Tribolium castaneum: one gene and its partner. The protein of the gene in region 1 interacts with the protein of each later gene in a pairwise test. Links are inferred from orthologs where the notes say so. Each region holds a gene or a part of one and is shown on either strand. Other genes may lie near its edges. The genes, in order: Ccz1 and Mon1.

What was found.
Region 2: the proteins of Ccz1 (region 1) and Mon1 interact in a two-hybrid assay, tested with the Caenorhabditis elegans proteins (2 studies listed by BioGRID). The link is inferred for Tribolium castaneum from reciprocal best matches to the Caenorhabditis elegans genes ccz-1 and sand-1.

Annotation. Positions count from the first base shown.
Region 1 is NC_087394.1:35,479,775-35,483,872, reverse strand, and holds Ccz1 (vacuolar fusion protein CCZ1 homolog), read left to right. Parts: upstream 1-1,491; 5' UTR 1,492-1,549; coding exon 1,550-1,624; intron 1,625-1,668; coding exon 1,669-1,766; intron 1,767-1,813; coding exon 1,814-1,907; intron 1,908-1,954; coding exon 1,955-2,161; intron 2,162-2,207; coding exon 2,208-2,383; intron 2,384-2,437; coding exon 2,438-2,727; intron 2,728-2,773; coding exon 2,774-3,175; intron 3,176-3,223; coding exon 3,224-3,282; 3' UTR 3,283-3,376; downstream 3,377-4,098. Other genes in the region: mini-chromosome maintenance complex-binding protein, read right to left, coding at 1-41, 94-650, 695-793, 844-1,026, 1,076-1,165; uncharacterized protein LOC655748, read right to left, coding at 3,443-3,706, 3,854-4,098.
Region 2 is NC_087396.1:19,985,311-19,989,437, reverse strand, and holds Mon1 (vacuolar fusion protein MON1 homolog), read right to left. Parts: upstream 2,602-4,127; 5' UTR 2,403-2,601; coding exon 2,107-2,402; intron 2,061-2,106; coding exon 1,863-2,060; intron 1,817-1,862; coding exon 1,573-1,816; intron 1,528-1,572; coding exon 814-1,527; 3' UTR 679-813; downstream 1-678. Other genes in the region: Prp38 (pre-mRNA-splicing factor 38), read left to right, coding at 1-236, 283-678; phytanoyl-CoA dioxygenase, peroxisomal, read left to right, coding at 3,571-3,578, 3,631-3,747, 3,800-3,911, 4,092-4,127.

The DNA of each region.
Region 1 (4,098 bases):
AGGAAAATTTTCCAAGTGCCATTAAATCTTTCCGCAAGTAGCTAAAAGTCTACACGTGAAAAATAGCAGAATCAAATGTGCGAATTCCCTTACACTTTAGAAATGAAGTGGTAAATTAAATACTCGGCTGCCAATTCATCTCCACACATTAATTGTGTTAATAGAATCAAAAGTTCTTTTCTAATGATCTGCATTTTATCAGCGCTCATTTTTTCGTGCGTAACTAATGGATTATTGTGAGTCAATGATTTGAACGACACACAATGAATTCTAGGAATTAAACACGGAGGAGGATTGTGAATTTGAGACTCCAGACCGTTCATATCATCATCAATGTTAGCCCCTAAAAGCGGATTGAGGGACAAAAAGCCCACAAATTCACAAATTGAGTTCAATTTAATCTTGTCCATGTCTTTGTATACTTTTAAGTGGCATACTTTGCCAGACGGATTGGGGATTGGGAAATTTAAAAGGTACTCTTGGGAAACAACAGGTGTTGTTTCTGCAGGTTGTGCTGACTGATTACATGGGCGCTTGTTAGAGTTTGATGGTTCAGTTGCACTAGCGACTTCCATTTCTTCAACGGGTCGTTTTAAGTGCACTGAAGTTGAAGAGCTTGTAGACGGTAGTTTGTACCTGTCCTCCTCAAGCTAATTTTTTTATTACACAACCCCTCAATTAAAACAATACTCACTTTATGAACCCATGGATTAATACCAGGGATTGAAATTGCAACGTAAACATGCCGCTCACTTGGAGTGGTTGAGGGACATTCCTCAATGGTTTCATTAGACTGTCAACACATACTCAGCCCCCGAATAGCTTTCAAAAAATTACTCTTACCTTACAGTCTGCACCATCAACGTATTTGCCGTATTTAATAGTACTTTCTGCAGTTTCAGTGTTTGTAACAGTGAATTTTTCCAAGTAGAGTTCGGGACCGTGCATATCCTGTATCATGCCCTGGAAGCGAACCAGTTGCCAGTCTTGGAAATTGTGCAGCTCGTTTGCATTCAACAGTGGAATCTAACAATGTACAAAGTGTTCAAAAATTGTAAAAGTGTAACTTTCTAACCTGATTCCAGATTTGTTCGTTTTGAAGTAATTCCGAATATTTCGTTTCGTTTAGGTACCATTGGTCGGGCCTACAGTTTAATAAGTCCATTTTTGCACTCGTTATTATTATTTTTAAAGAAAAAGGAACACCCGAAAATAACCTCGAAAAAGGGTTACACTTTTTGGCGCCAAATTATATGTCAATCTTTGCGTTGCAACTTGCAATTTCCCTAATCCCAAACAACTTTAAAAAATATTAAAGACACTTGAGGAAGGAATAATTATACAATAGATATGCTCTAGTTCTAAAACTGACGGCAAAAGTAGGTACTTTGGTACCTGTCCGCGTATTTTTAATGTTTGAGATGTATGGCAAATGAATAATATGGATCAATGGATATTGCTAAACATAACATAACCTAGTAAAAATTTTGGACTTGAAAAATTTGTTTCTAAAAACATAATATTATTCAATAAGTTTCGAACCGGAATTATGAGTAAAAACAAAGACGTGGAGTTAAAAAACTTTTTTATTTTCAATTCTCTATATGGCCCCAAGGAAGGGGAGGTGCGTACGCCCCTTTTAGAACACAATCACAATGTCTTTTCCAGGAACTGAAAAAAATTCTTTATTATTATCCAATATCTGACAATGCCGATGTACAAATAAAGAATGTGGGGTTAGTTGAGGGGATCATTCAATTCACTGGGTAAAGTGTTTGAGATAAGGGGCAAAAAACTGTAAGATTTCTTGTAGCACATTTAAACCAAGCACTCCAGTGAATTCACTACATACGCAAAAAATGCGTCAATTGTATTTCCAACCAGAAAAAAATATGTGGATTGTTTTGGTATTTACACATCTTTAATCAATACTTTTAAGCACTAAATATTATAGACGTTAACTTTACCAACCGAAGTTAAGGGGAAGGACAGTTCAACTCAAATCGAATATCTCGAGGATGATGTACAAGACAATGTTTACGAAGCCGTCTTAAAACAAGCCTATTACACGTATAGACTTTTCTGGGGCACTTTTGAACACACGATTGAGAACCACGATGTGGGCACACTTAAAACAAGACTTGAAAGTTTCTATAAAGCTGTAAGTTAACAAGATTATTTAAGAAATTTTAATTTATACTTCACAGTATCTGAAAACCTTAAAACTAGGGCATGCTGATATTCTGAACGTGTTCCACGGAATTCAGTATCTGCCTCTTGACAAACTAACTTTTTTAAAAGTCCAATGTTTTATCAATTCACTTGAATGCGAGTATCCCGAAATTGCGTACACAGCGTTCTTATACAACGATCATCTCATATGGTAATTAATTCAAATAACTTAAAACTTGTTTTATAAGTAATAACTAATTCAAAGGAGCGGTTTTGAACCCAAAGACATGAAAATTGTGTACCAATATTTAATTGGCACTTTACTGCCCGCCAACATGGAGGCTGAACTTCAAGGGGGCTCAATGCCCCGTAATTCTGTTTCACCTTTTGCTGCATTACATCACGGTCGTTTCATTACGGGACCTACAAATTTAAAAACAGCCAAAAATGTGGGGAAAATACCCAAAGTTTATTTATTTGCCTCAGGGAAGGCCGAGTCCTACAACTTGGTGGTTTATAGGGCGCTAAGTGCGTCCGTTTGTTTATTTATGAGAGGTTTGTTTCGTTTGTTTGGTTTTATTAAATTAATTGTTAATTATAGCCGACAAGGAGTTAAGTTTGCAATATTTCAAAGACATGGACGAGTTCATTAGCCCCAAATTGACTGCAATCGTGTCAGATATTTCCGAATATTGTTCCAAACAAGTGATTACGCCATCAAATGTCCCCGAAAACGCTCCAAGGTTTATCTATTTCAATAAATTGAATTTGGCTTACAAAAGCACAGCGCATTTGGATAATAAACAAACGGGAAACATTGCATGTACCAAAGAATCTTTAAAAATAATGGCTGATTTGAACAATAAGAGATCACTGTTGGGCCACTCTAGCGAGACGATAGTCAAAACAATGAATGACTATTGGGTTGTTGCGAAAAACTCGAATTCTAGAGAATTTTACGTGGCTTTGCAGCAGAAAAATGCAAGTCTTATCGACATAAGCGGTAAGTATAAAATGTTACGTTATTTTTTTATTTCATTAATTTTTGTAGAAGAAATAAAAAAATTGTGTGATACCGAATTAAAAGGCATCTTCTTCCACCCACTGTAGGATTTGGTACAAAAAAAAACACGATTTTTATTGCAAAAATCATTTATTAATAAGTGTACATAAGTAGGCAAATACAAAATAACTTAACACTAAATCCTAAGAAATCACAATATTGCAACTACCATGGAGTGTGGCGTTAAGTAGTATAAATGAGGTGAGATTATTTTTTGGGGAAGAATGTCAGTTCAGTGTGAGTTTGTGCGAACAAAACGTTCAGTTGCGAGTCCAAACCGACATTCTCTACCCTAATAACGTGAGCTTCATTTCTGTTGGGCTCTTTTCGCACCACAGCCAAGCCATAGACGCGCATCAATCTCTCGCTGCTTTCGTCACATCCTCCACCGGGAATAGCAATGGCAATGTGGCACATGACGTCAATGTGGACGTATTTCTCAATCGCGTGCTTGCCAGACTGCGTCTTAACCTGGAAATGATGAGAAAAATTTAATCTCTACAAAAATTAAGTTCAATTCCACTAATGAAAATTTTTCATTACCAACCCAAAATTTTGAAAAACGATCTTGCATTCTTTAAAATTTTCAGAAAATATAACGTTCTAGTTGCGACTTACCTTCTCCATTTTTTCCTCAATTTGAGGCTTGTCAGCTCGCCAAACTGTAGCTTCACCCAAAATCTGGTCCCCAGCTTTGATTACAAACTTCATGTCTTTATGAACGGCTCTGATTTCCAAACCGAGACCATCGGGATGGTTATCAGACCATAGATAATTGTCAGGGTTGAGCAGAGAGTCAGGTTCGAAGGTCAATCGTTTGGCATAACCCATTCCGATACTTAAAAGCTTCAAAGCGCGTCCAC
Region 2 (4,127 bases), on another chromosome or scaffold:
TACAAATTCAACCAGAGAAAGACATTGTAGTTGAATTCATCAAAAACGAGGAGTTTAAATACGTCAGAGCCCTCGGTGCTTTCTACATGAGACTCACAGGGTCGTCCTTAGACTGTTACAAATATCTTGAGCCTTTGTACAACGACAACAGGAAGTTGCGGCGACAAAATCGCCAAGCGCAGTTTGAAATTGTACACATGGACGAGTTTATTGACGAATTGTTACGAGAGGAACGAGTACGTGTTTTTTTTGTTACGGTAGATAGTAAAATTAATTTTTAAGGTTTGTGATGTTATTTTGCCACGCATTCAAAAACGCATTGTTTTGGAAGAAAGCAACGAACTCGAAGCCAAGATCTCGGCCCTTGAAGACGACTTGGACGAAGAGATTGAACTTGAGGAAGAAAACAAGTACGAGTTGGTTGAAGAAAAGCCCAAAGAGAAGAAAGAAAGGGAGAGGAAGCGGGAACGCAGCAGATCCAGAGAAAGGCATCGCAGTCGGAGTAAGGAACGCCACAAGAAGGAGAAGGACAAGGAGAGGGACCGCGACCGGGAGAAGGAGCGCGATAGGGAGAGAAGAGACAGGGAGAAGGAGCGCAAGGACCGGGAGAAAGACCGCGAAAAAGAGCGAGATCGTAAGGATAAAGACAGGAAACGGGAGCGAGACAGACACCACTGATTTTTCAATACATCGTTTTATACAATCAATAATTAAATACATCAACAAGTTTAGGATTGTGAATATCACAGATTAAGCCTATACCTTAGATTTCCACAAAATTTACATATTTATAATATATACAAATCAAATGGCTCAAAAAGTGGGCGCATTGAGATGAAACAACTTCTCCTCCCTTTTCTTAATCCAGTTCAGCAGCCGCCCCACTGAGTTAATCGCACTGTTTGTGTCAATCAAGGGCTCGAAAACTACATAAAGCTCAAAACCTCTCGTATCCCACGCCAAAATCGCCTCGTCTGAGTTTTTCTCAAATAACAACTTTAGCGGCCTCGTCGAGCAATGCAACAAGTTATGCGCCCGTTTGTACAACTTTGTTAGTCTCTCGTTATATTTGGTGTACGGTGGGGTCAAGCTTGGTTGGTAGAACTGTGCTGTACTTTTGCATTTGTACAAATAGTGCCTAAGTTCGGGGAAACCCGCAACAATGCAAGTTTCTTCTTTCGCACTCAGCGACTCATTGATTGCTTCTAAGCAGTTGCTGCGTCGCAGTTTTTCCACTATGCGTTGTTTCGCCTCACTTAGGGCAAAAAATACGTCCCTTTCCACCGTCAGGAGGAGCAAACACGCTTGACAGTCTTCAGCCAAGTAGGACACATGTCCGTATAAAAAACCACTAGCGTCAAACCGTGGAAGACATAACGGTGTCCAACTTTCAGCCGTTTTGAGGCTTTCGGAGGCTTGGACTAAGTTAAATATTAAATGGAGATCGGCCGGGTGAAGGCAATATTTTTTCATGCGGACTAGAGTGATAAGTTTATTGTTTGCGAGAAGTATTGCGAAAACTAGGTTCTGGAAACGATATTTTAAAAATGTTTTTTGAAACAATTTTTTTACTTTAATTTTGCTGCAAGCTCCGACAATGGCCGAGCTGATGTTGTCTCTCACTGAGGACGCAAGTGACAGACACTGGACTGCGCCCAAAGTGAACGAAGGCTCCTTCTCTGAGAAATCTAGCAAGTGGTCAATGAGTCTCTCAACACCTGCCAGAAGCCGTCTTAAGTCATAATTCTGGCGTTGCTCGTAAATTTTATTAAGTCTAGTCAAGGTTAAGACACTGGCTATTTGATTAAATACGTAGCTGCAATAAACAAAACTAGAAAAAATAACAAAGTGGGAACCCTCACTTTAGTTGTGAACACAGCTGATTTACACTTTCCTGCGTTCGAGAAACGGCGACTAAAATTAACGGTTTCTTAATTAAAAAGACAAACTTCGTGTCCCCGGCATGGATGCTCCTAATGGTGTCCTCATTTGACTGTACGAAGCTAACCAGTGTTTGCATAACACCGAACAACCAGGCTAGCTTATCCTCGTTTCCATATCTGAGACATAAGTTGTAAAGAAAAAAATTATGCAAACGATAACAACCTCGAATAGATGGGTTTCCCGGCCATGCTGAGGACAAAGACATGTTTGTTCTTACAAGCCCACTCCTTTGACTGGACGAAATCGTCCTCTTCGTTGTTAATTGAGAGATTCTCGCTGATTTCGTCAAAATTCTCGACGTTGCTGTTTTCCACGTTTGAGTCGTTTTCCGCGAGTGCATTCAGGTTTTTGATTTCTTCGAGGCTCGAGCTCATGTGATCAAAATTGTCAAAGGAGTCGGTGGTAACAAGGACACTCTCGGAGGCTGCCCCCGGCTCAACTTCCAGATTCGAGGACATTTTTTGTTGGGGGTTTTAGTTCACGTGAAATTCACGAACATTCTTGAAAAATCGTCGGAATTTTGTTGGGTTTTTGAGATTTCAATGCATTGCTCTTTGATTGATTGATTTCTAACCTCAACCTGACATTTTTTTGACAGTTGTCAATTTTGGTGCCAACCTTCTAACTAATACTTCTAACTAAAACTCTTAAGGCAGGGCTTTAAGGTGGTTAAACAAGTTAAGAGCAACTATTATATTAATTGAGTTTCCGCTTTTCCAAGTTTTTTAAATACGTAGTTATTGTGTAAAAAATAAGAGAATGTCATTTTTTATTTTATTGCACTACATTTTGGTTTCAAATTAATTTTGATTTTGGTAGTAGTATGTTATTTCAAACTTGAAAATAAATACATCACTGAAATACACTTAATTTATTTAAAAATATAGCATTACCAACCTTCTAACTAGATAAATAGTGAAATTTTAGTTAGATCATCTGTTGGGTATGCAGAGGTCAAGACTTTTATTATTTACTGTACTTTGCGTGCTGTGATAACGAGGTGAGTGTTTAACAACTAACAAACAACGATAATAAGAAAAAGCATTTGTTAGTTCCTTTTTACGCACAAATAATTATTATAGTGTGTTACAATTTGAGCGATATGTATATCTACGGCTTAAGTAGTAGGTACTTAAGTAACAAAATCGAGAAAAAAATAGACAGTATGTTTAATTATAAGTTTAAGGATCGGTTTACAGAAAGCGAAATTAAGATTTAATTCGAAATTAAACTAATTCGAATTAAGTTGCCATTTAAAATGCATTGACAAATGTCAAGTTAATCGCGATTAAAATTTAATTGCAATTAAAATTTTCTGTAAACCGGCTCTTACTGTTCTCGTATCATTGATTTATTTATTTAAACGGTGGGATGCTTGACATTTGATTAAAAACAGTACAAGTAAATTCAAAGTAATTGTTTATTATTGAGTATCTGTTCGATAATGTGTTGTTATTACTTACTACTGACACTGAAATCATTAAGTACATGTTTTTTGTATTGTTATAAATAAATGCTTCAATGACGCAACATAATTCAAGTGTATTTAATAAACAAGATAATTTTATGTTTTAGTGTATTATTCGGACAAGTTTCTTAAGAGAATTGTCTGCGTTACCGAACAAAATGGGAAGGTAATTTAGTTAAACAAAAAATTAAGTGCATATTAATAAGTACAATTTTTAGATTTAGGTATACTCAAGACGGTGGTGTTCTAACATACGAACAACGCCAATTTTATGAAGATAATGGATATATTGTGATAAAGAACAATGTTAGTCATGCCTTATTGGATGAAATTCAGTAATGTTTCCTTTAATTTTCTTTAAATATTTTATTATTATTTTTAATACAGAGATAGATTCATCAAAATATGCGACGGAGTGGCTGACCCTGGATTTATGACTGTTATGAAAGACCCTTCTTTAAAACATAAAGGTGTCAGAGGGCAATATTTAATAAATAAGGTATGATAATAAAAATTGCTACGTTAAGTTTTTGTGAATACAAAAGCATTTGCTGTTGAATGCTTCATTTTGTTCTATACTCATGTGTTTTTTTTAATATTTCTTTCAAAATTTTACATTAATAGTTAAGAAATTAAGTATTTATGATAGGAAACGCTGAAAACATGAAAAAAATTTCAGATCCAAGATTTTCTTTACGATGAAGTTCTTTTCAAA